Arabidopsis thaliana: one gene and its partners. The protein of the gene in region 3 binds, or shares a complex with, the protein of the main gene of each other region. Each region holds a gene or a part of one and is shown on either strand. Other genes may lie near its edges.

Evidence for each region.
Region 1: TAF8 (region 3) and TAF13 share a complex: the UniProt entries of both Arabidopsis thaliana proteins name them as parts of the TFIID complex.
Region 2: TAF8 (region 3) and TAF5 share a complex: the UniProt entries of both Arabidopsis thaliana proteins name them as parts of the TFIID complex.
Region 4: TAF8 (region 3) and TAF15b share a complex: the UniProt entries of both Arabidopsis thaliana proteins name them as parts of the TFIID complex.

Annotation. Positions count from the first base shown.
Region 1 is NC_003070.9:578,716-582,835, reverse strand, and holds TAF13 (TBP-associated factor 13), read right to left. Parts: upstream 2,212-4,120; 5' UTR 2,091-2,211; intron 1,767-2,090; 5' UTR 1,753-1,766; coding exon 1,650-1,752; intron 1,559-1,649; coding exon 1,521-1,558; intron 1,340-1,520; coding exon 1,280-1,339; intron 1,193-1,279; coding exon 1,118-1,192; intron 1,022-1,117; coding exon 917-1,021; 3' UTR 526-916; downstream 1-525. Other genes in the region: AT1G02670 (P-loop containing nucleoside triphosphate hydrolases superfamily protein), read right to left, coding at 2,537-2,609, 2,706-2,786, 2,869-2,957, 3,037-3,189, 3,311-3,415, 3,524-3,640, 3,819-3,941, 4,045-4,114. UniProt on the Arabidopsis thaliana protein: TAFs are components of the transcription factor IID (TFIID) complex that is essential for mediating regulation of RNA polymerase transcription. May be involved in polycomb repressive complex 2 (PRC2) mediated repression.
Region 2 is NC_003076.8:8,675,108-8,682,871, reverse strand, and holds TAF5 (TBP-associated factor 5), read right to left. Parts: upstream 5,824-7,764; 5' UTR 5,756-5,823; coding exon 5,580-5,755; intron 5,267-5,579; coding exon 5,185-5,266; intron 5,100-5,184; coding exon 5,021-5,099; intron 4,905-5,020; coding exon 4,807-4,904; intron 4,709-4,806; coding exon 4,652-4,708; intron 4,536-4,651; coding exon 4,448-4,535; intron 4,355-4,447; coding exon 4,245-4,354; intron 4,118-4,244; coding exon 4,010-4,117; intron 3,932-4,009; coding exon 3,780-3,931; intron 3,598-3,779; coding exon 3,487-3,597; intron 3,413-3,486; coding exon 3,343-3,412; intron 3,254-3,342; coding exon 3,217-3,253; intron 3,069-3,216; coding exon 2,913-3,068; intron 2,824-2,912; coding exon 2,747-2,823; intron 2,651-2,746; coding exon 2,534-2,650; intron 2,117-2,533; coding exon 1,851-2,116; intron 1,387-1,850; coding exon 1,291-1,386; intron 1,203-1,290; coding exon 1,130-1,202; coding exon of another isoform or gene 1,085-1,129; exon of another isoform or gene 871-1,084; coding exon 814-870; and 2 more. UniProt on the Arabidopsis thaliana protein: TAFs are components of the transcription factor IID (TFIID) complex that is essential for mediating regulation of RNA polymerase transcription.
Region 3 is NC_003075.7:16,426,123-16,429,877, forward strand, and holds TAF8 (TBP-associated factor 8), read right to left. Parts: upstream 1,889-3,755; 5' UTR 1,711-1,888; coding exon 649-1,710; 3' UTR 517-648; downstream 1-516. Other genes in the region: HDR (4-hydroxy-3-methylbut-2-enyl diphosphate reductase), read right to left, coding at 2,559-2,624, 2,712-2,798, 2,872-3,057, 3,146-3,240, 3,335-3,440, 3,510-3,584, 3,671-3,755. UniProt on the Arabidopsis thaliana protein: TAFs are components of the transcription factor IID (TFIID) complex that is essential for mediating regulation of RNA polymerase transcription.
Region 4 is NC_003076.8:23,636,877-23,642,911, forward strand, and holds TAF15b (TBP-associated factor 15B), read right to left. Parts: upstream 4,098-6,035; 5' UTR 3,979-4,097; coding exon 3,792-3,978; intron 3,662-3,791; coding exon 3,568-3,661; intron 3,446-3,567; coding exon 2,812-3,445; intron 2,673-2,811; coding exon 2,522-2,672; intron 2,443-2,521; coding exon 2,364-2,442; intron 1,814-2,363; coding exon 1,690-1,813; 3' UTR 1,572-1,689; exon of another isoform or gene 1,420-1,571; 3' UTR 539-1,419; downstream 1-538. Other genes in the region: AT5G58480 (O-Glycosyl hydrolases family 17 protein), read right to left, coding at 4,351-5,437, 5,607-5,950. UniProt on the Arabidopsis thaliana protein: TAFs are components of the transcription factor IID (TFIID) complex that is essential for mediating regulation of RNA polymerase transcription.

The DNA of each region.
Region 1 (4,120 bases), on a different chromosome or scaffold from region 3:
CTCCTTCCACATCACTATAACATTCATCTTCTTCCTCATCAATATCATCATCATATAAGGACATGGCTGATCCATATCCCGAGATTCCTGATGATGATGAAGATGAAGCCGCCGTGAAAACCTCCATAGTCTCTGATAAACGACCCTCGGAATCATCATCATCTTCATTATCATTATCACCATCGTCTCCTCCCATTTCTGTCGCTGGCAGAGGAGGAGGAGCCGGAGGGAGAACAATTGTGTTAGTAAAAGTTGACGATGGCATTATCGTAATTTCGAAACGGAGTTTACGTACGGACTTAACGACTCGCCGCCAGAACCTGGTGTTGAAGGGTTTTCTCCCCGGCGGCGACGAAGCATGAACATGACGACGGAGAACATGTGCATCCCACGTGATGACTTTTTCTTCTTCATGCTCGTGTTGTTTATTTGCTCTATCTCTAATTGATCACAATGATTTTCTTTAGTTGGTAATTGATCACCATTCTTATTTATTGTTTCCATGGTAAAATAATGAATCAAAATATCAGAAAGATGACGAAAAATTTAGAGAAAAACAAAAGTCTTATAATGATGACTAATTTTATAATTATTGCGGTAATTAATTTAATGAAAGAAACAAAAATCGGGTGGTTATTCTAAATTTTTAGGGTTTCGAAATTCCTGACTCAAGAAAAATTAAAGGTCGTCCGTAGATATATACGGGATGCTAGATAATGGGCTTTCTTCTAATGGGCCTACATTTAATATGAGTCGGCCTTGTGCAAGATTTTTTTTCACCTTTTTTAAGTCAACACACTTTTTTTTTGCTACTGTGCTTCGAATTCTGATTACAACCTAAAACGCTGTCCCTAGTCCGGCATCCATGAGGTTCCTCTTACCTAGCATTTGTTCCTCCCGTTGAGGAAAAGCAAGATCAATCAACGAGTTCCTTTTCGTCGACATCAAAAGCTTTGCGTGCTTGTTTCAGCTCTTCCTGCATCGCCAACAGTTCTCTACAGCGGTTCAGTTTTGGCAAATCCTGCATAAATCAAAGACGCCAAAGTTTCGGATATAGAATACAAAACCATAAACCATCTCAATCATCGATTGTGTACTTTTTAAAAAGAATTTTTACCTTGCGGATAAGATACAAGAAATCATCAACTAGAAGTCTTCCTCGCTTTGAACCAATTTCTTGAGCTTTATGTGTCTGCCATTGAAACATCACTTGTTAGCTAATATCTCTCCGCTTGTAATGTAAAACATGAATCATTCACAAAAAGAAAAAGCTCACTACCAAATCTGTGACGTATTCCACAACAATGTCTTCTACAAGCGCCACAGACTCTGGAAGAGGCTAAATACAGAGGAGTTTTGGATCAGTTTCAGGTGGTAAAACACTAAAAGATGTTACACGACCAAGAACCCTTTAAAGCAAAGATTCTCTACCTAATTCGTTACTTGTATTGGAATGAAACTATATCTACAAATACGGTTCATATGGCAACAAAATAGTAATGAAGAGGATAGCGGCTTACGTTTTGCTCGTCGCCAAATCCATACATCATATGCTGCACTGAAAAATCAACAAAAGCACCAAAACCATTGTTACCAGAAGAATCACAAAATGAAGAATACAAAAATCTGGTTTTAACTAAAGACTTTACATTCTTTTTGAAAGAGAGTTTTGCGCTTTTCCTGTGGCTGAGAAGTTCCCGCAGCTTTCGATTTAGACGATGATGACGCCGCCGCTGCTGGTGTGTTACTCATCTCTTCTTCTTCTTCTGATAATCAAAATCCAGGAGAGCAAAATAATAGAAAAATAAGTGAAATTCCTCTACCGACAAAATCCAATTGAGTCAAATACTAACCCTAGGTGAAAATTTTCAAAAAAGAAAAAACAGTGTAATCTCAACTAGAAAATGAAATTCCGAGCCTATATTCTAGATTTCTACCGCAATCAAAACCAGAGAGCTACCGGAAAGTTGTATTCCGGTACAGTACAACAACCAACGGAGTTAAATCGAATAAGGTTCTTTATCCAAATATTTGTCGTCATGGAAAAGGAATGAAAATTGAAAAGGGAATAGTGAGAGCAGAGAGCTCACCGTAGATTGATCGACGGGAGTAGCAGAGGTGGTCGTTGCAAAATCGGCGATGAAGATGATGAGAACGAAGAAACGGGGACTTGTTCACTGATCTCTCTCTCTCTCGTAGAAGAAGCACATTGCATTACATACGAAGTAATTGGGCTTAATAAATAGGCCCATTTATATTAAACCAGCCCATAATCTAAACCAGAAACCCGTACACTAGTCGACCGACATTGTAACTAAGTTCTCACGGTATGGCTCAAACCGGCCATGGCCTCATGCTCAATATTCTTCGGGAGAAGGAAAAGTTTGTGATCCGATTCATATACAATCTATCCGGTGCTCATCATATTACACAAGTATGTATCAAATCTTTTAGCTTGAGCCTAATTTTGTCCTGTCAAGACTCTTTTTTCTATCTATACAAATTTTCTATCATGTTCTTCATCTACAAGATTTGGTTATGCGAACAGGGACTTGATATCGTCTTCTCCCAGCTTTTGTACAACGGCCTCTTCAGAGTCACCTAACGTACTGTAACAAAGCAAATATGTCTTCATATAGGCTTCATACAGTTGACAATAAGAAACCAGCAAAGTTGAGAGAAGCGTATCGTTTAAAATAAGAAACCTTTCAAACAAATCTTCCTTCTTCTTTTGAAGCGTTAGTATCTTTTCCTCTACTGTTTTCTCCATTATGAATCTTACAACCCTGTCACACAACCAAATGTTTCTTCTTTCTTCCCCCACCAAAACAACATACAGTATATTGAAGGACAACTCAAAAATATAACCTGACAGGCTTGCACTGTCCGATCCTATGTATTCTGTCCTGTGCTTGCCTCTCAACCGCTGGGTTCCACCACGGGTCCATCATGAACACCTATACAATCAAACACCCGAATGTCAGTGAATAAAACATGTTCTAGGAGCAACTGTTTTATAAGTTGTACACTTCTTACATGCGAAGCGGCTGTTAGATTTAGAGCAACCCCTCCAGCTTGCAAGCTCATTAATAAAACTCTGCAATCTGGCTCTTCTTTAAAATTTTTGAGTGCAGCATCTTTAGCTGCCTTGGACATGCTTCCCACCAGTTGAACACAGCTAACCCCAGACTGCGTTGTACAAAATGAGTCAATCATTTTTATTCAATGTCTCATTATGATTAAAGAGAATGTTAAAGGAGCACAGATATAGTAGTAGTAGCATTTTGTAGTTGGTTGCGCTTGAAATTACCTTCCCCAAGGCGTAACTTATCAGGTCCAAGAATGATGTGAACTGGCTGAATACTATTGCTTTGGCAGACCAATCTCTTTCAACCATGAACCTGATTTCTTCTCTCTGCATACAAATTTTTTTTATCACCAAATGGTTAGATAAAGCCTCCAATCTCCAAAGAAACTTTAAGCGTGGGAGAGACAGAAGCTGTAGATCTCAAAGGGCACATACCAAAGCCTCAATCTTTGTACTTGTTTTAAAATCATCGAGGTTTATCCGATTTAAAATGCTAGAGGCTCTAAATCCTTTAAGCTTTGTCTTGCTTGCCTGATGTTCACTAGAAGTCACCTTCAAAGTAAGAGAACCAAAGACATATTAACCGAACAAGTTAAGTCCAACATTAGTCATCCGATGATTCTTTAAGAAAGTGTAAAATGGTGGCAGCTATTTCCAGAAGATACAGTTACTGAGAAACAAGAGTCGAGATAGTATGAAATAGCAACAATATATCGACTGGAACACTTACAAAGTAGTCCTTGGAAGGGTCATGGCCGAAACCACATTCTTTCTCATTTTTGTTCGCATCAAGCAAGTTAGCGTTAGCGCCACTAGGACTAGAATAACTCACCAGGTATGGATGATCAACAGCCTGAAAAAATTGCAAGAAAATGCATCAGAAATCTATATACCTATATCATCCAAAACATGCACTGGCTTGTAAATAGAACAACAAAACTATCGATACCACTCACTTGTCTCAGTCGGATAAGAAGACCAAATATATGTGCATAGTTATTCATCAATGTCCCAGCCTGAATATACCTGCAG
Region 2 (7,764 bases), on a different chromosome or scaffold from region 3:
TAATGAGAAAACTGACCGGGAGAGATCTCATATAAGAAGATAACGAGTACCACATTCCCACATATAATTCCAAATGTAGACAATTGTCTAGTCACACAACCAAATCTACTTTTGGTAGATTTTATGTCTCATCCAAAATTTTGATGCAAATGTCTTTCAAAACATGTTTTTTTCTTTCTTTTCTTCTTCAGCTCTCAATTTTATTTTATTTTTGTCGTCAGCTCTCTATTTATTTAAGTACCGTCTCTAGAAATTAGGAGAATTAAATGTTTTCACAAAATAAAAAATATGTTAGTATCTGAAAAGTTTCTAAAAAATATGTTCTCTAAGAAAAAACATAATTCACAACATACCACATAACCACCCACCCTGTCTTAAGAAAGATTTCTCTCGACACACGATGTCTTTTTGGGGAGATTCATTACATGTTTCTATTTTATTAACGTTATAAATTTTGAGAATATTTGGTTGTTGTTCTTTGCCTTATTCATTTCGAGTAGGTTTTGATTCATGATAGAGGTGACATGCTTAAACTAGGGTGTTTATTAGAAGGAAGAATGTGGCTTTGACATGCTTAAAGTAAATCTGCTCCAAGTCGAAGATAAGTGATTCCTGGATTGGGACACATGGCATACATAAGCAGGAGTAGTTGTTCATTAAAAGAATCTTCAACATTTTTGGGATTTAGAAATGAGAAACAAAAGCCACAAGCAAATAATCTTTGGAGATAACTATTCTACACCTGATTTCTTCTGAGATCTACAACAGCTTGTAAGAATGTTAAAGCATCAATATCTGATACCATTGTTTTGATCAGTTTGCGGGTTTAGAGATCGCTCCTGCAGCAAACAACAAATTTCTCCGAGAAAACTGCATCAATGTAAAACATGAGTTTTAGTGTATGCCTCGATCAACGAATCCTAGGTGTTAGAGGAAAGGTTCTATATGATACTGATGGATAAAATCTGTTTGGCACACACCCTGAAACTTTGGTTCTAATCAAGTGTTTGGTCACTCATTATCGGGATGTGTTGATCACAAGCACAACATGATAAACTTAGGGATGAGAGAAATACCACGGTGTTTAGAGAATGGTGGAATTAATTCTAGTAAAGAAAGCATAACTTACCCGGAGAGCGTGAACTGGTGTGGACTTGGTGGGGAAAGTCCTGAGTGAGCGCAATCTGTTCGAGTTTCCATTCCTGATCAATCACAAATGATAAATCGTTTTTAACAAAACAATCTACCATTCAAAGGGAACAACAATACAACTTGAAAGAGCAAACTCACTTTTCCTCGGCCTTTGTCAATTTGGTACTTGAAGTGACGTCCCACAGTTTCACTGTGCAGTCTGCGGATCCAGAAGCCAGAAGAGAGCCCTCCCCGCTGAAACAGGAAAACAGGTTAGTCATAAATTGTAGTAGTTCTATGATTTATCAAAGTGGAGTTTACGGTTCCAATATTCCAAGCAAGTGGATTTTACCAACCAAAACCAGTCATTCCATTAACGACCCAACACATTAGGCCTATACAACATTCCACAACCCATGACAAGAACCCTATGTTAGAGCTAACACAAGAGTGCGTGGATATAGAAAAATCTACCAGTTCAGTAGTAAGTCACTGTAGAATTAATAGAAATAGCCACACCATACCACTCTATATCATAACCCTGAACTACCCTTTAAAAAATGTTGTCCTAGAAGAAATTCCAGAGATGATAAAGCATATCAACCAAAACCAATAGTTGGCTGAAAAAAGGATCATATTACGTTTTCATTGTGTATTACTAACTCAATAAAAGTTGAATGATCAAATAAAGCTATTTTCTTCTTCTCTTGACACCTCACCTGTATGAGAGACTCCAGACACATGAATTATGGCCCATGAGAGGAGTGATGCAGCGAGCAGTTGAGAGGTCCCACATCATTATAGTGCCATCTTCATCACCGGAAGCCATATATCTCCCATCTGGAGACATCGCCAATGATAAAACCATACTCCTGTGCCCAATGAATATCCGGACACATTCTCCAGTTTGCACATCCCAGAGTCTAACCGTCTTATCACTACTACCGGTAGCAATGTAGTTACAATTGGGATGCCACTGTACACACTGAAATCAAATGCATTTGACAAGTACAACGAAAGTCGCATCAATAGGTATCCAAAGAAAAATTGAAGTTACTGATCTGACTTAATGTCAATCCAAATAGTTAAGTAATCCATCGTAACCTTATGACTTTAAGCGTATTGGCTAACAATCTTTGGATCAACTATAAACTGGACGATTCTTAAATTATGAATGTCAGGGTCACGTTAAAATAACAAGTGGGTACTAATCTAAGTCAATAAACAATGTAAAATGTTAGATAAACCATTGTAAACATTGATACGGTGAATTAATGACTTCAATTGCATAATAAAACGTTTTAAGAAATTTATCCATGCATTTAATTAACAACTCAATTGGTCCCTTCGATTTAACCTTTGCAAATTAAACCCAAACAATGAAGATGAGGGAGACACTCACATCAACATCAGATAGATGCCCTGCCATTATCCGAAGAGGTTGTATTCGGTCCATTGACCAAATCCGTGCAGTACGATCATGAGAACAGCTTGCAAAGTAATGACCGAAAGGGCTAAACTGCACCATAAAATGAGTATATAATATATATACATGTCCAGCCACCATAAATTGCAGGTTATGTAAGAAACATGGGTTAAATTGAATTAACTATACCTGGGCATCCCATACAGGGTAATTATGACCCTTGTAGCACACGAGATTAGCATTTAGTTTTGTGCTCCACAGTCGTACTGCACTTATGAATACAGGGTTGGTAACTAAAAAAGTCTGAACTAATGAGCCAGTGTATGGATTTGTAAAGTGATGGACAGATACATACTTGTTGTATCTGCTGAAGAAGATAGAACAAAATCTCCAGGGGGACTGAAAGTGGCTGAGTAAACTGGCCCTGAATGACCCAGTAATAATGTATAACTTCTTCTGCCATTTGGTCCTATGCTTTGATCACTTGAATCATTTTCAGCCTGCAAAGCACCTGGAACCAGACAGCTTAGTGTCTATAACTCTCATGGAAACAAAAACAATCATTATGAGAAATCAACAAAAATGACAAGCGAAACGTATGAGATAAATATCATTCTTAAACGTGGATGTCAATACAATTTTTCAGAGAATTAACATACCACTGCCAGCTTGTCCTATCTTAGCCATGTCCCAGACCTGAACACCATAATTGTCACTTGGCATCATTTAAGAGAGGAAGAAAACAAAAAAAGGGAAATGTATCCAACCATCCGAGAATAACATACCTTTATTGAAGAATCTGAGAACCCACCAGCAACCAGAGATCCATCATGAGATATAGATGAACAGTTTAACCTGGGGGAGAATAAAAGAGTGAGTAACAAGGTTGCAAATAAGTAGTTAAAATTAGGAGGAGAGGTGGACATTACCCGTTATGAGTATTCACAAATGTATAAAAGCTGACTGATGGCATTGCAACACTACTCAACTGCACACGGTTTCTAAGGTCTTCAAGGATGGATTGCTCTACATCTGTGGACCTGACAGAGAAAACAAGGAGATGGAGCAAAATTGATTTATGTTAAAGGAGGTTGAGTCTTTGACAAATACAAAGACTATGTTCATTTCTCCTAAACAATCATGCATCACCCATAGATATCACATGTTCATTCCTTTTTAATCAAATCCCAACACAAAAAATGGGTAAGGGATTCGAAAGTACATTACTGGCAAGGCAAGTTCTGGTTTTACACGCGGCGCCGGTGACACCGTAATGGTCTCCAGACGTGCAACTTTTGCTGTTGCATTACCCGCTTTGTCCTTCTTCAACTTTTTTAAGGAAGAGCCTTGCTTTCCAATTTCAGTGGATCTTTTCTGTACACAGAATCAATTGACGAGTAAAAACGGGATTTCAGTTCAGAAATTATTGACTAAGTTGAAGCTATGTATCACCTTACTATCATCTGCATCCCCGTCTTTACTTTCTCCTTGTCCCTTCTCAGAATCAGACAGCAGACCTCCTGTCTTCTCAAGGCGATCTTCTAGTGAATCTTCAAGCAACTGTAAAAGAAAAATGCATATGTAGCTATTAACTACGCAAATATGTTATCATCCCTGGGATGAGGCATCAACATGTTATAACTCTGGAAAAATAGAAGAGAAAAGAAACTTTAGGGGAAATACGTACTCCCCACTGTATTTCTTTTTGATTAATGTGATTAGCAGTGTCCTGAAAACTCCCGACAATGGTGACAGCTTCTATGTCATCGGATGAGGAAGTAGGCTGTCCCGAGTAGACTGCAACAAATTATCCATGACCAATTGATTCAATTTTCTACTCAAAAAACTGCTACAAGCTATCGCATATATAAGAGAAAGAAACACATTTACCTTGGAAATTGATGTGCTCGTTAATAATACCAAGCATTAAAGTCGATACTGTACTATGTAGATACTGAAGTAACAGCTCATATGAATACTGCAACATTCAGTAAGCATATTAGAGGTCTGCAGTCACGGAATTCAGTTAATCAGACCAGAAACCTCGAAGCAGTTGCCTATTACAGCTACTAGTCAATTTTCACTCAAGTCTACCTGACAAAACTTGATGTTAACCTTGCTTTTTCTAAGAGAACGAGCAAACTCCATCTCCTGATAAGAACCAAGATCATAAGAAAGATAATAACCAAAAAAAAAAAAAAAAAAATCCATTATCAATATTATATGACCATATAAGGTTTATCATAAACCTCTAGATGAGATGGAGAAAGCACGCCTTCAAGCTTCTGAAGATCCCGTAAGTGTACCATCTCATGATCTTTGCGGAAGCTGTTAAAGAAGGCTCTAGCTGGAATACAAGAGACGTATTATTTCCCACAGTAGCATAAGTCACTGTTTCCAAAAATCTTATACCGAAGGTAAAAAAAATACTCAGTACATCTAATTTGCTATATTGACAAGTACCTTCTTGAGTGTGCCCTTTCCCCACCAGATCCATGTAACAATGAATAAACACAGGATACATCACTCGAAGCAATTCATGCTACAAAATTAGAATCATCTCGTCAGTTCAATTAAGCCTGTCTCTACCCAAAACAGCCAAGGGATACACAAAAAAAAATCCCCACCTTATATAAATCCAGAGAATTATACGCCCATGACCTTAGTTTGCTGTAACCTTCACGGTACCGAGTTGGATCATCTTCTTGTCTGCAAACAAAAGAACAGACATTTCATTACCATTAGCTCTCTCTACATAAGCCATACAAAAAAACCTAATTTCTTGCCACTGAGATGTCATCAAAATCTTAAATTTGACAGATAAACTGATAGAAATATTCACATAAACTTCACCCAGAAAGTGAATTATATTCATTTTTAGATTCTCAAAAACGTTGGAGCTTACATAATTTTTCCTTACGGTTTTCAAAATTCACAAAAGACACTAAAACTTTCCCAAAAATTCAAAACACAATTCGCATTAAGAATTGAAACGAGAGAGAGAGATAGGGAGAGAGATTACTGAGAAAAGGAGCGAATGAGCTTCGTGAGCTCAGGATCGTTATGATAATCGACAGAAGTGAAGGAGCTACCATTATTGTTCTGGTGATGATAAGATTCAAGGTCTTTAGCAGCGCTACTGAATCCTTTCTTCTTCAAGTAGCCCACGACGAACTCGTTGATTTGCTCTGGATCCATTGTTGTCTCTCTCTCTCTCTCTCGATTCAATTTCCTCTCCTAGAAACTTGTATCTCGTCGCTGAAACATCTTCAGTTTTTTAGATTCCGTGTCTCTACAAAACTGGGCCTGTTTCAATGGCCTAATTGTGGCCCAAATATAATAATTTCAAAGTTATGATTAAAACCAGGCCCGTCTATGGGGGTGGCAGGTTGGGCAAATGCCCAGATTCAAAATTTACTAAGAGTTTTTGAATTATAAGCCCATGACCTTACTTTGATGTAAAATCTCATAACCATTTTCTTTTTAAATTACTTGCTTTGGATTCTCTATTTCAACTTAAAGATTGGGACAAGATACCAATATTTATTGTTTGAGTAATTAATTCTTACAGAATTATTGAAAATTATCCAAAAAAATGTTATCTTCTCAAAATTTCTAACTTTTATTTAAAAAAAAAAATAACTTTCCAAAACACCCAGTTTAAAAATATTTAAACAATAATTCTTAAATCAAATGTTACAATGGTTAAACTAAACACTTGCAACAATTTATTGTATATAAGACAAGGTCAGTTATTTCCTCCCACAATGGTTAACTCGTTTTCTAAAAATATATTATAAAATTTTGGATATCAAATAATCAAGAAAAATTCTTTCAAATGCCCTTTTCATGATGCCCCTTTTCAACTCTACCCTTTTGTTTTATCCATTTTTATTTATATTCTCTTTAAATTTTTAATTACCATTTTACCCTTATTTGGAAATTGTTTTAGGTTAACAAAATGAAATATTAATATTTTTTCGCCTAAAATATTCTAAAATAAATTTCCCGCCAAAATTTTCCCGCCAAACCTTTTCGAAAAAAATTCCCACCAAAAATTTTTGAAAAACATTTCCCGCCAAATTTTGTTTTCAAAAATATTTTTCCCGTCAATTTTTTTTTTTGGCGGGAAATAGATTTACAAGGAATTTTAAAAGAGTTTTAAAAGATTTACAAGGCAATTTAAAGGGGTTTTATAAGATTTACAAGGGATTTTAAAAGGGTAATTTACAAGGGATTTTAAAAGGTTTTTAAAAGATTTACAAGGGATTTTTAAAAGGGTTTTAAAAGATTTACAAGAGATTTTAAAGGGATTTAAAAGATTTACAAAGGTCTTTTAAAGATTTTTAAAGGGTTTAAAATTGTTTTAAAAGGATTTTAAAATATTTACAAGGGATTTTAAAAGGGTTTTACAATATTTACAAGGGATTTTAAAGGGTTTTAAAATATTTACATAGGATTTGTAAAGATTTTTAAAGGGTTTAAAAGTGTTTTGAAAGATTTACAAGGGATTTTAAAACCTTTTAAAATTACTTGTAAATCTTTTAAAACTCTTTTAAAATCTCTTGTAAATCTTTTAAAACTCTTTTAAAATCTCTTGTAAATTTTTTAAAACTTTTTAAAAATCTCTTGTAAATCTTTTAAAATCCTTTTAAAATCCCTTGTAAATCTATTTGGCGCTAAAAAATATTTACAAGGATTTTTAAAATATTTTTTTTGGCTGAGGAAAAATTTTTTACGAAAAAAAAATTTGGCGGGAAATTTTTTTGTTGGCGGGAATTTTTTTTTTTGGTTGGAAAAAAGTTTGGCGGAAACTTTTTTTTGGCGGGAAAAAAAATATTTTGGCGCCAAAAAATTGGCGGGAAAATTTCAGTTTCCAATTACATGTTTTTATTAGATGAGGGTAATTTGGTCATTTTGTTCAAGGGGAGAGATATTTTTAAAAATGGACAACATGAAAGGGTATTGTTGCAAAAGGGTAGTAAAAAAAGGCTAGTTTTGCAAATCTCCCAATAATCAATACATATAATTTTCAAGAACCAATCAAGTCCTTATATAGTGAAAAACTAGTATTTATTGTTGTTCTATAAAATAGTTTTCTATGTATGGTTTTTAAAATCAGTTGTTGTTTTTTACAGGGGAGTCAAATTCAATCAATCACAAAATTTTATTAATAAGATGTTTTATATCTTATCTCACTGTTACTA
Region 3 (3,755 bases):
TCTGCCAGGAGTCTATATATACTGATATCAGAGTGGTGGGCTAATAGACGAAAAACTAAATCATAAGTATGGAATCTGAAAACTAGGGGTGTTAGTTAAAGGAACTGTGATAGGATTCAGTTCTCGTAAACTCTTAAGAGGCTTGATTAACGAGAGAAGTAAGTCTCTTATCTATCGCCCAGTGTCCAAAGCAAAATCCTACATTAATCCACAAGGCCCCAACTCAATAACCTAGCTTTCCTTTCTAACCTCGAGCTCTCAACTAATTGACATAACATAATCTTAATTCTGATACAGTGATATGTTTCACACCCCATAAACATCACGAAGCAAAACACATGTCGACCAAAGAAAATATACTTACCTCAGACCACTTGACTTGGTTTGGAAATATAGCAATGATACAAGACTAAACTCCTTCCACACTGGTCCCTGGCTCCCACTCATGAGACATGAAACTGAAACTAACATTAAGTTATGTAACAAGAATCTCATGAGAAAGACATCATATCAATTGCCTAAAAGATAGGTTAGAAATTCTCATTCTTTCAGTCACAAAATCATAATCATAACATAGGCCTGTATAAAGAAAGGTTACAAATCACAAGATTAATAGTACGCTACACAGACTGTAATGAATCACTTATTTTACAACTGATTGAGGTCTACTGGGTTCTCCATACACTGTCTCAAAATGAACTCCGCTCTTCTTCTTTTGTCATCTCTATCCTCCTCACGCACAAAGGATATGGGTCTATCTTCACCCTTCATCTGTAGACTTAGATCCAAAGGTTGTCCGAGAAATTTCTTCTCGGTTCTGAGCTTAGAAAGAGCAACAGGTTTATTCTTCTTCCATTCAGTGTGAGCTTCACTAGAAAACCCATCTCTTGCAGCCTCCATAGCAGGAGCAAATGCCTCTATCACTGATAAGCCATCTCTATTCAATGATTCGACTTTCTCCCCGGACGATACAGAACGCAGTTCACTCTCATCATCTCTCATTTCTTCTTTCACACCATCCATATCTCCCCACACAGGATTCCTTGAGGAGATTTTACAAACAAGTTTCCTCTGCAAACTCAACAAAGCTCTCTCAGCCTTTCGTCTCTGCCTCGCTTGTTCAATCTTATCTCCCCTTGGATCTGATACTCTTTCGATCCACATAGGGGTTTCCTTATAAGTATGAGGATCAGGAAAAGCTGGTAGCCACAAAGGAATATGTTTCCCAGGTGGAGTTTCACCAATTTCAACAAAGCTTGGGATCATCTTCCTACTCCTATCACTTATAGCTACAGGAAAACTTGGCAATGGCTGCGAGAAAGGGACTTCTTCACTCGAATTAACGAAATCGATAATCTCCCTAAGTTTAATCGAACGACCTAATGAACAACTCTCAGACGAAATTCCTTGTTCGCCATTGTTATCAGTCAAATCATCCAAAGCGAGAATGATATCGAACACGTTACACTGACTCCTACCAGTTAGATTAGCGAAGGAAGTAGCGGTTTTACCTAGCTGAAGAATGTACTGGAGTGCGAATCCAGATAGAGATTCGAGAGCTGGATCCTTGAAATTCTCGTACCCAACGCTCTCGCAGACCTGAGCTACTGCAGCTTTAGCGGCTGCGTGGCTAAACTCGTAGGACTCGGAGCAGCCAGAGGAAGATGCGGCATCGTTCCTATCACCTTCTTGAGCTCTCTCTGTGTTCATTGCTCTAATTTGTTTCAAAAAGCTATCTAATCCCTGAAATTAGGGTTTTCTCGTCGGTAAGACCACATGGACCGCCGGTTTAAAGAGAATCGAAGAAATTTGCCTCCGTCAACGGAAAAGACCTAACGTCGACGAAGCACCGGGAAATATGAAGAGAGAAAGAGAGACAGAGAGAAATGCGTCTTGAGAATCCTGCCATCTCTCGCTTATATAGAGCTCCAACCCCAAAATTAACTACCAACTTTTTTTTTTTTTTTTAGACCAAAATTTTGGTTTAAAATTAAACAAATGTAAATTGTAGTAATCATAACCCAAAAAATTATTGGAAAATTTTATAAGAAATTGGCGTGGCTGATTTTGTTGAAAATAAGTTTTTCTGCGGTATTTCGTAAAAATTTATGAAGCTATTTTAGAAATTCGGATGAGTGATTCTGTTGAAAATGAGTTCTCCGCGATATTTCATTACATTGTTTTGAAAATTTTCCAAACATAACGAAATATCGCGGGAGAACTCTTGACAACTTCCCGAGTTTCGTTACATTAAACTATTTTAGAAACTCTTGTGGCTCGATTTGTTGAAAATGAGTTCTTTCCCGATACCGCGGAGATTCATAACCTAGTTGTTTTAGTGACAACTTCTCGATAATGACAGCCTTACACAGTCTCAAGTTCTATATCAGTCTAATTGCGATTATGGTAAGAACATTAAGTGGAGTAAGATAACGAGGATGTTGACTTTGAATTACAAAACCTCTTACAAAAGTTATAAAGACAAATCATACAACTACATATATTTTAGTACACTCTTGACATGACAAATAGTATTTGAATACGATCACAATGCCGAATCAAGCCAGCTGCAATAACTCTTCACGTTTAATGTCGAACACCTTCACCAAAGCATCTTCCACGACCTGTAATTTTTTCACAAATATTTTCACTCATGTTCGTGTGGGAAACAAGAGAACCAAACAAAAATATAGCTGCAAATATATATATACCTTATCCGGGGTTGATGCACCTGATGTCACACCGATTGTTATTGGTCCCTTTGGGAGAAAGTTTTCCTTCTCGACCAGTTCTCCATACTATCAATGTAAAATAGAAAAAATCAGTGAATGCAGTTTGGTAAGGAGTAAGTTAGTTTTGAAATGCGCTTACGTGGAGCTTATAGGCTATTTTATTCCCAGGTCCTATCCGTTTCTCACTATCGATCCAGTAAGATGGGATTCCCCGTGCCTCTGAGATTTCCTGAAGGTGAGAGGTGTTACTTGAATTCCATCCGCCAACCACTAGCATGAGGTCAATCTTCTCTTCCACTAGCTCATAGATTGCGTCTTGTCGCTCCTGAAGAGATTATAGTATTGATGAATAAACACTTCCTCAAGTGTAAAACTTGTCTAGATGCATGGTTTTTGAGGTATGGGAATTTTACTTGAGTAGCGTCGCATATTGTGTTGAAGCTGATGAAATGTCCGCTTACATTTTCCACTCCATACTTGCGCATCATTGTTGTCTCGAGTAATCTTCCTGTGGGGTTTTTGGCATGAGACTCAAACTAAGGTGTTTTTGTTTCCAAGGATAAAAGACGATTGTCATGTAAAAAAACGGTAGAGTAACTAACCTATCTCCTCTGTTTCTCCCTTTAGCATCGTTGTTTGGTTTGCAATACCAACTTTGACAAGGTCATTGTCGGGATCGAAACCCTTCGAAATTGCGTATTTGAATTTCTACAACGCCAACATAGAGATTAGAAAAACCAGAATGATACAAAGAATTAGCAAAATAAGCTTACATACCTCCATGAACTCCTCTTTTGTGGAGCTAGATCCATCGTATTGGCCACCGAGAATGTAATCACAAACGTAATTTGCCTGTGCTCAGTAATAAGGTACCCCATCAGTAACACATCTTGCAAAATTCTATGGATATCCAAAGTTTGACAATATAAAAGTCACACCTCTTTCATGTTCTTTACAATGATGTACTTTCCTGCAAAAGACGCAGTTGCAATCGTCTCTTCATGATTATATTTACCATGGATT
Region 4 (6,035 bases), on a different chromosome or scaffold from region 3:
CATGATACATTATAACACATATGTAAAGGAAGATGCATACCTATGGATGTAAATTTCAGATTGAGTAGTAGAGAAATAGCTATAAAGCTCAGGAGGGATAGCGCCATGGCTCACCAGTGCTGTATGTTTTGTATATGCGTACATGTATATCTGTTGGCGCTATCCATCCTGAGTTCCATAGCTTCTTCTTGCTTATATGTGATTCCTACTTCATTCCCTCCTTCGTTTAGCTTCTTGTATACAAGATATGGTAATGGGTAAGTTTATTATTTGCATGTAAATATTTTACCTTTTTTTATATAGAATTGTTGAAGTTCAAATCATATAGAAAATTGTGTCGAAAGTGAGAAAAATCGCAGGTATTGTCAATTTGAGGTTAAGAACACATTAAGTATTAAATAGTGTGGTCTTACAAGTTACAACTTACAAATATCTGGATTTCACACATCTAAGCAGTTTGTTAGAATTACATTGTTACTGCCTTACTTTTTTTTTTTTTTTTTTTTTTTGTAAATTTATGCTTAAGACTACTGGTGGACTTTTATTAAGAATATGTATATTATCCAATATGTGTGTGAAAGGGATGGTAAATAAGTAATATCGCCGTGTGCTAGAGCCAGCCAGCGATTGAGCTGTGAATATGCAATGTTAGAAGATGGATTCTCTTTGTCGAATTGAGAATGGGAATCTTGAAACTAATGTTACAGGATTCCAAATTTCCTGGATTCTTTCTCTCGTCCATATTTTCTACACAACAAGTCATTAATAAACTTTCTCTTGGGATTTTCGGCATTAGTCTTTTTTGTTCCTATAATTTCAACATAAACTTTCGTTACATGTAACACATTAAAGAGTTGGCCAATCCGGCACTTGACCAAAAGGTCATGACATATACACATAGAGAACTTTACGAGACACCCTTCTCTTTAGTCCTTGGGATCCAGATTGAACGATTAACTATTTATTAACAACGTCTTTTATCCAAAAAAAGGCCACTCATTTGTAAAACCCTAATCCTAATCATAGCCCCAGTGAGTGAAGTTGGCAATAAAATCATCAAGTTGATCTTTGAAAGGTCACTGCATACTTCAGATCAACTGATCAGACACAAGTGCCTAGCCATCCCCCACTCCTGCCAATTCTCGAGGAACACATGTTGCTATAAAAGAAGTTTGCGAGAAAAAACGATAACAACTCCGAAAATTGTAAAGAGAAGTGTGGTTGCCTAAATGAATGCATTACACAATACAACATGAAAACATACGACTGTTTTGTTTGTGTTGAACAGAGTCAAAAAAAGAAGGAAGAGAAGCAAAAAAGGGACTTCTGGTGTTGAAAGAAGTAATCAAGATGAATGCACTCACCTGAAATCATCATAGCACCAATTTGCAATGCATTTTGCAGTTAAATATCAGCTTCCTTCAATAAAACAAAAAACAAACATTTCACATCGTGAAAAACAAACTAAAAATAAACCGGAGATGCATGAATAATAGATCCCCAAAGAAACAGAACAAGTAGGGAGAAAAAAGGGGTAATTTTGCTCAAGGTCAAAGTGAACAAAAACCTACCTCTTTTTTTGTATCTCCAATATGAGGATTCATAGAACATTTTACTAAAATTCCCTCCTTAACACACACAAAACTCTTAGAACACATAACAGCTGATTCATTCATTCCTCTCTTTCTCTCAATATGGACGAGACCGGTTTCCCCCATGGTGGTTTCTGTCTGGCCCTGAACTGTAGTTGTCTCTTCTTCTGTCTCCCCCACCACCACCATAGCCACCACCTCCTCCTCCTCTACCCCCACCTCTGCGACATTCACAAGTTTGCAAGGACAACATTATTAGATCAGACACAGACATCTCTAATTAAAACCAGCTTACTACGTAAGATGAAGTGACTCAACACACAACAAAGACGAGTCTTATAGAGCATGGAAAACCAGATAAAGATACAACTTATATGGGGAATTACTAGGAGCTTATAAGAAGCATGAACAAACAACAGATCTCTTCACAACCAAGAGCAGCCACAGCTATAGGTTACAAGATAACTACATAGATTTATTTCCTATGGCATGAACATAGACCTAAGGCATAATTTGATGACATACGAACTCCCAACCCTTTCTGTCATACCCAGATGAGTGTACAAAGCAAATCCCCAGTAGGATACAAGATCCAAACAGTCTTCAGAGACAAGGAACATAAACTTAGCATTGCAAAAACTCATATTCCCTACTAAAATTATAAAGCTAAAAGCCTAAAACAACTAGAGTACAAACACCTATAAGATGGAGCAGGTGGTAACAGCTAAATGGTAACAAAAAAGAATGCTGATAAATGATCAGGACAGCTACCTCTGGTCAAAGGTAGGAGCACGGGGCGCAGACTTTTCTGCCATCGTTACACTAATCTTGTTCCCCCTCATTTCGTAATCTACAAAACAATCCACCACCATTCACGAAACAGAACTTTTAAACAATTTTAAGCTAGACAGCAATTCCATAGTACATACTGTTGAAAAAGCCGCCTGCAGAGTGTGCAGCGCTGGGATCTTCATAAGCCAGACAGGCGTCACCTTTATAGTTACCCTTCTCATCAGTGTAAATCTTAATATTATAGGGCCACTGATCTTTGTAACCACGCTTCTGCTTAATTCTTCCAACCTAAAATAGATCCAACCAGACACACTTTATCAGCACACCAATAAACATGTACACAAACAAGAACTTAATAACTTATAGCAAGGGAAAGGCTTATTCCAAGATATAAAACACAACAGAAGTAAAAGACCAGTGTTATTACTTGGCCAATGCCACCAAAGAGATCCTTGAGTTCATCAGTTGTCACATCCGGAGGTAAATTAGAGATGTATATTCTAGCATTATCACAATTATCATCACAATCAGCATCGCACTGCTTGACTTTTTCAGTAGCTGCATCTTCATAACTAGCTTCCTGCCGTCGAGGAGCACTACCACCATCATAGCCGCCACTCCTACCACCACGACCACCAGTGCTCGGTGCATCACTGCCATAACCCCCTCGTGGACCACCATATGACGGCGGGCCACCAGAATAGCTTGTAGGCGGGGGAACAGCTTCCATTCCATAACCCGTGGGTGGAGGATAACTTCCAGAACCATCGTAGGATGGAATAGCTGCAGCAGGAGGAGGAGCCTGACCATACGAACCATTTTCCCTCTGACTACCACTACCATAGCTACCACCACTCCTACTTCCACCATCATATCTACTACTCTCATAGCTCCTACCACTATCGTTTCTACCACCACGACCACCCCCACGATCACTGTCACCTCCACCTCGGCTATATCCACCACCTCCACGATCATTAGCACCAGAACTAGTACCAGAAGGAGCAAGTGCACCACACTTGTTACATTCAACTCTCCTTGCAAAGTTCACGTTCCCACAACTATACAAACAGTTTCGAGGGTAAACAATTTCAAAACATGCTCCCACAAAGGAATTCAACAGCTAATTCAATTCATTACATATGCAGAAAGAATGGAATCCCAAATAATTTGCAATCATTACCTGGGGTTGGGACAACGCCAATCTCCATCTCTGCCTCCGCCGCCACTTCCTCTTCCACCGCGATCACCTCCTTGATATCCACCACCTCCACCGCCTAAATCAAAACGAATCATCGAAATAGTGAGAAACTAAAGATTTAACAAAAGTAGCTCAGCAAGGAATGGAGAAATCTAAAGAATCATAAGGTTATATCAATCAGATCTGCAACAATCTAAATCACAAACCTCGATTTCCTCTACCACCGCCTCCACCGTAACCACCGCGTCCGCCGTAACTACCTCCGCCAGAGGCACCGCGTCCACCATATCCAGCATCACCACCTCCATAACCTCCCCCTCCGCCGTATCCATCACCACCGTACGACGGAATAGGCGCACCTCCGCCGCCGTCTTGATTGTACATCCCAGCCATGACCTAGGGTTTGCGATAAACAACAGACCAAAACTCTTAACGAATCGTGTGAGAGCCTTTTTAGACGTAGAATAAAAAATCTCGCGTTTTATTTATATTTCTCTCAAAAATAGTGGAACTTTATTATTGCATTTATCTTAAATCTTAAATTCTTTTACATCTTATCTTTTACCGACCGGTTTCCCAAAATAACTGGACTTGCTTTTTTTATCAAATAAGACAACATGGTTCTAAGGCCCATAATCATCTAACCTTTACGAAGGCCCAGCCCAATAACAGTTATTTTTTACGTAGCCCAATACAGTTTTGAAATGTGGCTATTAGAGAGAAATTAGAGGCAAAATCCACCAAAATTTTGCTATAACTACAACTTTAAAAGAGTCCGGACAGTAGGAACAATAAGAGGAGAGGCCAGCTCTGAAAGAAATTTGGAGTTTGCGAAGATGAATGAGAAGTGTCAAGTTGAATCGAGAACCGGCAATTATCCTCAGAAGGATCAACAGTAGTGATCAAACCAAGTCCACCAAAGTTGCAGCTTTCTGCACTGTGATCATTTTGCTGGTACAAGCTATTGAACGCGTATGAAACGTTGCCTGGCCATCTGATGCCTGAACACGACCCGCCAGGAAGTATCGATGTACAGTCCGCAACAGCACACGCTTCTAATGCTCTTGCTGACGCGTTTGACAAGTCCTTGTTATTGTTCACCACACACCACTTAGGAGGAAGGTACTGAACATTCTGCGCGTTTACCTGATTCTTATGGTTGAAACTGAAATTGTATTTGGCTTGACCGTCGAAAGTGAACACTCCCCAGTGCCTCTCAAAGTTCCCAGCAGATAAGTTTCTCTGATCTTCGTCCAAGAGACTTTCAATGTAGGTTTCAACAGGAGGACGCGGGAGAGAGGCCGTCTTTTTCTCCAAGTGAACTATCAGTCCTTTAAAGAACGCCTCAGCAGTCAGTGATGTTGCATTTTCTGCTCCATCTGTAGGCCAACCGATCTTTGACACAACGATATCCACCTCCGAAAACCCAATTGTGAACAATGCAGAGACAAGTGTGTCATAGCTTAGATCAAAGCTGTTTCTGTAGGTTTTACGTCCGTCTTTGTGAGCCTTTGCTGTTTCTTTAAAGAGGCTAAAGTCAAGGGAGATGTTCTTGTTCTGGTGAAAGCTTAGGAAAGGAGAGATTGTCACAAAAAAAGGAGAGTGGTGCTTTGTGAGAAAGGAGAGGAGTTCAATCATCGTCTTGTTGAGGTCAGCCCTAAAGTGTCCTGAAGAAGGTCGACCAGATTCAGAAAGAAAGGAATCAAAGCTTGAGGGGACTACAACCTTCACTTCATTTGCCAAGTTCGCCTTAACTAAAGCATTTTGGATATTCATAGCTGCCCCAATCACAAAAGGCTTATACTGATTGCCATAGCTCTGGAGAAATGGCTCTTCTCCAACTGCTACATACCTGAAAATCAATTCTTTTCTTTAATGATAATTTCACAATAAGAAGATTGGCAATTTGGCATTGAAACAAATCCGACTCATTCACATTCCATAAGTTAAATTCCAGCTTAAAAATCTTAAATCTATATATATATAACTGGATAAGCAGAAGAGAAGGAGAAAGAAGATACTCGATTCGAACTCTGTTTCCACCGTTGAAGTAACGAGTGACATTGTCATGTACCCAGCTCTCTGCTACCTTTACGGATGCATTCAAGCTCTTGAGCATCGAATTTTGGATTCCGATAGTGACACCAATATTAGAACCAGAGAGAGCTCGGAGAACTTTTGGGTCGGCATCGAAGAGCTTCACTTTGACAATGCCGTTTGATTTCAGAAGCTCTACAACCTTTGAAGGCGGAAGAGGGTGCGACGCTTCTGTCCCCCAATTTATGCCAACTGCTCTGACGGTTGTTCCCGTCAAGCTCAACCCTGCCGTGACGGCGAGGAGGAGGAGAAACAGCCGACGAGCCATCAAATCCAGTGAATCTCGTACTTCCACGATAATGTCGGGCCGAGAAATTCAATGTTTAAAAAAACAAAACACTGCGTGCCGTTTC